Oryzias latipes: one gene and its partner. The protein of the gene in region 1 interacts with the protein of each later gene in a pairwise test. Links are inferred from orthologs where the notes say so. Each region holds a gene or a part of one and is shown on either strand. Other genes may lie near its edges.

The links.
Region 2: the proteins of stac3 (region 1) and zcchc10 interact in binary tests that used the Homo sapiens proteins (3 or more experiments, as listed by UniProt). The two-hybrid records come from large-scale screens. The link is inferred for Oryzias latipes from reciprocal best matches to the Homo sapiens genes STAC3 and ZCCHC10.

What each region holds. Positions count from the first base shown.
Region 1 is NC_019865.2:7,551,480-7,555,894, reverse strand, and holds the start of stac3 (SH3 and cysteine-rich domain-containing protein 3), read left to right. Parts: upstream 1-1,334; 5' UTR 1,335-1,642; intron 1,643-2,296; 5' UTR 2,297-2,329; coding exon 2,330-2,337; intron 2,338-2,775; coding exon 2,776-2,854; intron 2,855-3,124; coding exon 3,125-3,281; intron 3,282-3,429; coding exon 3,430-3,527; intron 3,528-3,697; coding exon 3,698-3,758; intron 3,759-4,069; coding exon 4,070-4,167; intron 4,168-4,302; coding exon 4,303-4,372; intron 4,373-4,415. UniProt on the Homo sapiens protein: Required for normal excitation-contraction coupling in skeletal muscle and for normal muscle contraction in response to membrane depolarization. Required for normal Ca(2+) release from the sarcplasmic reticulum, which ultimately leads to muscle contraction.
Region 2 is NC_019872.2:6,662,132-6,666,233, reverse strand, and holds the end of zcchc10 (zinc finger CCHC domain-containing protein 10), read left to right. Parts: intron 1-1,631; coding exon 1,632-1,673; intron 1,674-2,924; coding exon 2,925-3,159; 3' UTR 3,160-3,375; downstream 3,376-4,102.

The DNA of each region.
Region 1 (4,415 bases):
GGCTAAGACTACTTTGTAGTATGTTGTCGTGACAGCTGTCAGGCGCACAAAACACTCTGATGCAAAAACTCTTGTATTAGCAACGGTTACAAGAGGCATCCCGTGCAAAACATTGTCTCGAAATAAACACAACAACTTTCCTATTCGAATTACTATGATTCACTTACTTACAGATATCCGTTAGAGGAGGTAGCCACAACAAACAACAAATGCTGATTAACCTTTTTTGCATTAAGCTCCGTGTTGGCTAAGTTTTGAAGTCTCCGCTTTTGGATCGCGGGTGAATCAAGTTAGCTAGTTAGCAAGGCGACTAGCCAGTGAATGTTTTGAAAATGGTTGGTACTTTCAACAATTAAGCGAGACTTTAACCATTACATAATCTAATTCACGAATTAGCGATGTTAACCAGCTATCAAGATTTACGCAACGTCTGACCGTCAGGTTTAAAAACAAAGAGCAGTAGCGCTTCATTTCACTGCGCTTGAGTTCCTGGGTAACCGCTACGAGCTATGCTAGTTAGCAAAGCTAAAGGACTGAAATTTACTTGGTTCTGGAGAGTCCCAGCAAAACCGAGGGATGTCCCGCTCCCCGTCCACAACGATCCGGCCGTTGCTTTTAGTCTCCGTTCTGCTGAACCGTGTGGAATTCACATTCAATTCAACAACCATAACGACCTATGTGATCCCAAATTCACATTTGCTCCTTGTGTTTTTTTTCTTTCCCTTTTTCTTACAAATTCCAAGCAAAAGAAAAAAGAAAAAAAAATAATAATGGAGTTTTCTTTTGGGCATGCGCACTCAGCGCGTCAGGAATATTGTACCCAAAATGCAACGGGACCTTTGTAACGCTTGTCTAGCGCAGGTTGGAGCGTCCTGACAGAGGACACTGCATATATATCTATATATCCATTTATATCTATATCTATATAGATATATATGCATCTACATATCTATATATCTAGATATATAGAGATATAGATATGTAGAGAGATTTTAAACTTTAAAACCAAGTCCAGATGACATCCCCTAAACCTACTACAATGGAACCAACCTGGATGAATGAGAGTCTTCATAGACATACATATAGAGATATGTATATAGATAGATATAGATATAAAGATCTATATCTATCTATATACATAGATAGATAGATAGATAGATAGATAGATAGATAGATAGATAGATAGATAGATAGATAGATAGATAGATAGGGGGGAGTGTGTGTATCCCCTTTTCCTCCCGACTCAGGCTTAGTGAGAGATACTCAGCTGTTGCAAACTGTCAAGTTCACTCAGTAATGCCAAGCCTGCCATGCACAAAAATACACACACTTGGGCATCCATAAATAGTTAGATCTTTCCAGTCCCTTTACACTATTTTGTATATTGGCATATGTAAATATATATTACTTTAGTGAGGTTACATTCAAAGTGTAAAATCCTCTGAAGCGAATATCAAGAAACCACAAATAGGGGACCAAAGGCCAAAAGGCCTGAACTGACAGGACATTTTGGGCGGCTGCTTTGTTGGAGTCAGTAGCACAGATCGTACGCCACACCAGTCATCGTCTTTTGCTCAAGACCCACCATAGAGTTTTGACAATATACTGGATTTGTAACTTCCTCCGTGGTCTTTCACTTAAGGTAGGCTACCATTGCATATATAAACAATGCCTGTTAATAACCATTTCTGTTTCTGTTCTGTAAGTAGATTAAATTTGTTAAGTGAATTGTTCACCACTCTTAAAATCTGTGTGGTTTATTTAAAACAATTTTGTTCAAGATGATAGCTTGGATTTCGTTACGTTTTTTTTCCTGACTAGAAAAAAATCCAAAATTTAGCAATTATGAGATTTCAAAACCCAAAAAGAGTTTGGGTAAAGCTGTAGGTGACAATTTGCAAAATCCAAGTTACACTGTCAAACACAAAATAATGAAGCATATTTGTTTTGTTTTGTTTTTTTACAAAAAATTTCTTTCTGTATTTGATATTTCAACTTTTGCTGTGTGAAATTGTAGGTTGGTTAATATAAACATGCGAAAGTAAATCTGTGGCTAAATACATTTTACATTGGCATTTGTCTATTTTTAAACACTGGCAGTCATAAAATCCTAAACATAGAAACGTAAGGGAGTGATTATATGAACTCTCACAATTAAAAAAGAAAAGAGGTCCTTTCAGATGTACATAAAATATAATATTTTATAAACCAAAGTTTTTATTTTATTGAAATCATTTAGAAATTCTAAATTTTAAGTCAATCAACCCCATGTCAAACGTTGTTCCATTATTTCTAGGTTGGAAAGTGTTGACTTTGTCTGCATTGCATCATGGATCAGTGAGTACAGATCCACTCATCATTTGTTCCGTCAGTGTCAAAATGTTATAAGCTTGTTAGTTATCAATTAACTTAAAACTCAACTTGATAAGTGATACTATTAGAGATCTTTTTTGCAATGAGGTCAAAGTCTACCTATTAATTTCTATAAAATAATTAACTGAAGTTATTTTATAAAATTGTATCGTTTAAGACGAGTGTCTTTTGTAACTTGGAGTAGATTTTTCTTCTGATTACATGGTTTCCATGATGCTTGTTTTTTTTTCCCTAGTCTGTCATGGTAAAATAAGTTCAGTAAGTTCTCCTTTAGTGTCATTGCTGAATAAACATGCACCAGTAGTAAACCTTTGAGTTTTATTTATTAATTCCAAAATTGTGTTTTTTTCCCAATCCGTGGCTTCGGCAGCTTATAGTTTTTTCCACGTTTATTTATCTCAGGGAGGATGACAAAAACTCTGTGGATATTCATGACAATCCTCCAGTCCCTGACAATGTAGTGAGGGAGGAGGGAGACACAGTGAGTGACAGCACCATGCCAACCACCCACCATTAGGGCCATTCCCAGGATGTTTAAAATAGCCACCAGTTGGAACAAGGCTGCAGTCCACTGTCAATTCTGAAAATATGACCTCAGATTTAGATTTCCCTGAAGATAGTTTTATACATGTAGTCTAGACAGTTTGTTTCATTGCCAAAACTCTGACTCATACAAATCGAGATTCTTTATGAACACCACCCTTAACATGTTTCACATTTTCTGCCTAAGCTGTTTCTGCTATTTCTCAAGGTCTACTTCATATATGAAGAGGAAGTTGAAGTGGAGGAAAAGGAACCAGAACCTCCCCCGGAACCCATTCTTCGGATCAATGACAAACCCCACAAATTCAAGGATCACTACTGCAAGAAACCTAAGTTCTGCGATGTCTGTGCTCGCATGATAGTCTGTATGTGCTCACCAGGATACGCAAATACACAACCAGTCCTGTTAAATTTCCCAAAGAAATGTGTTTAGATTGACTTTTCATAGTGATGCTATTTTCTACATCAAAATGATGTGTGACTTTTACTGTTTTTCATTTGCACATCTTGCAGTGAACAACAAGTTTTGTCTGAGGTGTAAAAACTGCAAAACCAATATCCACCATTCATGCCAATCCTATGTCGAGTTCCAGAAGTGTTTTGGCAAAATTGTGAGTTTTATTCATCATAAAAAATGTTATATTTTACACTGATATCAAAGAATATGCAGTCAAATAGATAGACAGTCAATAAAATCTGTGCAAACTCAGATTATTGTGTTTTATAATTCAAAGGCTATAAACTCTTATGAATATTTTATTTTTTATTTTTGTGTTTCTAGCCACCTGGATTTAGAAGAGCTTACAGCTCCCCTTTGTATGGCAGTGACCAACCCGATCCAAGTGAGTCCAGAAAAGTTAGCTCAAAATAGACATGATTATCATAATCACTATTTTGAAAAAAAGAAAGTTACTTGTGTTGGAAAATTGCTGTAGCTGATTCAACAATATAATTGAAATAAAGAAAAATTACACCAGTTTGTACAGAAAATCTCCTTTTGGCTTAGCATAAAAATTAGATTACATCTTCAAAGGTGACATCTAACCTGGACTGTAGGCTTCTGCATTACTAGTCTTTTTAAATATTACTATCAAGCAGTCAAAATTAAATAGATAAATTATTGATTCAGCTCAATAATTTTGCATTCCACCAGATAATCCAAACCGGAATGACCCCGTCTTTGACACCCTGAGAGTGGGCGTCATAATGGCAAACAAGGAGCGCAAAAAGAATGAAAACGACAAAAAAAATGTGAGTGAAGTCTTCCTGTCTCAAACCTAAATTTAGAGTATCAACAAATGATGATGTAAACACTTTACAATGTTTGTGTTCATATAGATGAATAAAAAAACTCAGAATGATAACTCAGTTTTACTTTCTCTCTAGTTGATGATGATGGAGGAAGAGGAGGAGGAGGAGAACCAACAACCCAAAGAGCATGAAGAAGGAGGAGAAGGTATAAATTAAAACTGTTGGTTACTTGCCTTCTGTGGGAAAAA
Region 2 (4,102 bases), on another chromosome or scaffold:
AAGAAGAGCAAAGATGAAGATGTTGAGGTTCTCTTTGGAGGGAGGAGGATGGATTGCATCAGGAATGAAGTGATAGTAGAGCACATGTGTCAAACTCAAGGCCCGCGGGCAAAATGTGGCCCGCCGTGTCATTTTATGTGGCCCGCGAGAGCATACCACTTTTTCATTTCTTAAAATAAAAAAAGGCGTATAATTATTTATTTTTTGGAAATAAGTGTTGAGCTCCAATCTACACTATCGGATCTCAAAGACAAACCCATCTCTATTGAGCTATTAGCCCCTTTATAATAATGAAACGATTCAGCTGGGTCGTCATTCGGAGCGGGAAAGTGAGAGCGGAGCAGTCCATCAACTGACTGACTGACTGACTGCGCTGGACACTTGTCTGCCCTGCATGCCGCATGACTCCCAACGAGAAGCTGATTGCGCAATCCGCTTTCCAGCATTGAGCCCAATTAATTTGAACGCGCAGAACGTTGAACATCGCACACGAGTCATCCCCCTTTCCTCTCCCCACAATCACGGTGCAACAAAAGAAGCAAACATAACAGGAAGAATTAACTAAGGGTGGAACAACAAAACTGATGGATGGAAAGAAACGTAGGCAACAAGAAACACCCATTCTCAACCCTATTCTGACCAGTGGACCGCATCCCACAATCCCCCGTGCAATACGTTGGGTCTGCTGGAATACCCACTATCCCCCGCGCAGTTTAATGTTTGCAGGTCTGTATGCAGACAAATTGTTGTCATCAAACAATCAGTTGGATGCAAGGCTGTGTGCAGCCTTTGTTTTTGTAAAATGTTGCTTGTGTCAAAAAAGTTATTTCTAGCTCAGTTTTATGTTATTGTATTTTTACTCACTTGGACAGTTTGATCCTTCATTAATGGAGTTATGTGGGTTTTAACAAGCAGACAATATTTTAACAGATTTATGCTAGAGTAACAAACAAACATATGTTTTCTTTGCAACTGTAATTGTCACTTTAAAATGTTATAATAAATAAATGAGTTATTTAACATTAAGGAGTAGTTGCATTCATTTGTCATTACATTTAGTTACATGTGTGAGTTATATCTGGCCCTTTGAGGACAACCACTATGCTGACGTGGCCCAAAATAAGTTTGACACCCCTGTATTAGAGGAACGGCTGAAGTTAGATGATTTGGGGATCAATGCAGGGAAAGAGATTGAGATGGTTGGACACATTGAAAGGCGGGACAGTGAATATGTTGGTAAATTGATGCTGAGGTCGGAGCTACTAGGAAAGATCAAAAGGTTCATGGATGGAGTTAAGGAAGGCATGATGGCAGTCCTCATGTAAGCGAGGAAAATACAGAGGAGAGGGTTGGACCAGGCCTGGTCCTCGGGGATCTACCACCCTGCCTATTTTCCTTTTGCTGCGGATCACCTGGACCAGGTGTGTTCATTCGTCTGAATGTGGAGACGTCTGATTGAGCTAATCAGCAGCTAGGAGGTCTGGACAACAGGCAGAGTGGTAGATCTCTGGGACCAGGATTGAGCAGCCCTGCAGATGATGTGGTGACCCCTAAAGGGGGCAACCAAAAACGGAGAACTTCCCCATTTCATTTTTGTTTCAGGTTTAAATGAAACTCCTTTCTGTTCACAGACCAGGAAGGGAAGGTTCACACGAGAAGAAACTCAAAAAGAAGTAAGTAGGAATTGCCAGATGTTAATTAAACTTTGTTTTTTAAGGCAGTTTTCTAAATAACTACATGTTCTAACCTGCCAGTTCTTCAAGCATAAGGTTAAAAAAAATCACATCTGCAGTAAAATTCACTTAACATTATGAGTGAAGCGCATTTATGTGGACATCCTTCATGTTTAGTTTTCATGTGAAATATTTGTTCCTAGTAAGACCCTGACTTGAACTAAATTTAAAAGATGTTTTAAGAATAATGTAGAAGATAGGAGGAGATTTCCAACAACATCAGGAGAAGCAGAATGGAGGGAATTCTTTGTGTAAAGATCAGAGGTAAAAACTTTCACAGAATTACTGCCAGCATTGTGAAGTAGATTTTTCCAGGTGACAGGAGTGTGGTATATATTTATGTGTTTCATGTCAGAACAGTGTTCATAAAATAAATGATTTTAATTTGCTTCACTTTCAAATGAACAGACAAGAGGAGACAACAGATGAATATTATCATTTTAGTATCAACACACCACTATAATTTCATTAATATTAGTTGTCAAAGTTATTCTGGGTGTTGGCTCCCTCTAGTGGATTATTCTAGCTACTACAGGTTTCCAGCTCTTATAGTTGGGAAACAAAATTTAAGTCTTTCTTGAAATCCGAATGCTGTTTGTAAAAAAAAAAAAAAAAATTTAAAAAACGCAACTACATATGGTCTTCATCAAGTTAACTAATTGAAAGTGATTTTTTTTCTTATCTAGTTTTCTTCTAACTTCCAGGGAGTAGAGAGCATGTCAATGTTTAGACTTTTTAGAATTTATTATATCTTTAAATGTATTAATTTTTTATTCATTCTTTGACAGATAAGGTTTTGTTTTGATCATGTATAAAATAGTTCTGTCTGTTCTTTTAACATATTTAACAGCATAACACCAAAGTCAGTGTAAATGGAACATAGTCGCACAAATGCTTGCGTCCAAAAATGACCTGAATCTGCTTGGCATGGCCGTTGTGCAGCTCAAGTCATCTTAAAAAAGATTCGTTTAGTGACTTTATTCTTCATAGGATACTGGACAGTCTGTGACATAATAGCTGACATTGAGCTTGATGGTAACCAGAACAGACTGGCCGTGTCTTCCTGAACATTTTTGTTTGTTTGCTGCCTGATTCCACGGCAGAAACACGGAAAGCACAGCATGACGCGTGAAGCTGCACACGCTTCTGTTCACTTATGTCTTTGCTTTGTGCTGCCCCTCTGACTCCCAGAGCAAAAGACGCCGACGACGGCAGCGGGGCCTCAGGAAACTCCTCCAGCGACTCCTCATCTGACAGCAGCGACTCCAGCTCTTCCTCTGATGACAGCGACAGCAGCAGCGACAGCGACAGCTCCTCGTCTTCATCCACAACATCCTCTTCCTCTTCATCCTCGGACAGCTCGGACTCGGGGAGCAGCAGCGATTCAGATCAAGAACCTCCTAAGAAGAAGAAAAAGAAAAAATAGAAAGGGAATGTTGTTGTTTAGTTGTTTTCCTCAATAAACTTTTCTAAACTCTCTCGACTAGATGGCACCAGAGCTGCACAGGTTTGGTGGGGAGGAATTCGGCTGAATAGTATTTGATCGTTGCATCTTCTGCTTAGAAAATGTTTCTATTTCTGAGAAATGTTCATATGTTTATATTTGGATTCTGGATACAAATAAAATGATGATAAAAAGCAATATTACTAAAACTTGGTTTAATACATTTAAAAAGAAATGTGTTCTGTTTATTAGTTTTAATGTAAAAAAGGTTAAAAAAAAACGAAATGTTACAGTTGAGGGAGTACTCGATAAAAGAGAAGTGTAATGGGGATTTTTCTTTATTTTAAATATAATTTAAAGTTTTTCCTTTTTGAAAGAATATAATAGTAAGGTCAGTAGTTTACTGTGTCTCACATGGATGTAACGTTTGTAAACGTCTGAAATTATGCGTCTTTCAAAAGACAATATGGATTAACATTTCAGGACTAATTCACAATAAAAACAAATGAGTGAGACACTAGTTTTTTGCTTCAAAAATAATTTAGGTAATTTACAATATAATTACTAAACTATTTTGCATTTTAAATAAGAAAAAAAAACTTTCTGGGAGAGCTGCTATAAGTATGGCATTTCACTAAATGCAGTGCCCCAAAAGATTAGAAATGTAAACTACTGCAAGGATTTCAAAAAGTATGGTAATACTTGCAGAAAGGACTGCAAATTGATGGTACTTTGATTAGGATTCATTTAATTTTCGGTAGGTTTCTCTAAAATGATCTTTTAGTGTATACCTGGAAATTTAAATTACAATCAGACCGTGCATCTCTAAGAAGCTGAATTTAGATCCTTTAGAGATGTTGAACCAAAAGAACAATGGTGTAAAAAGAGTTAAAAAAAATGTGTTGACATGTACCTGATTAGGAAA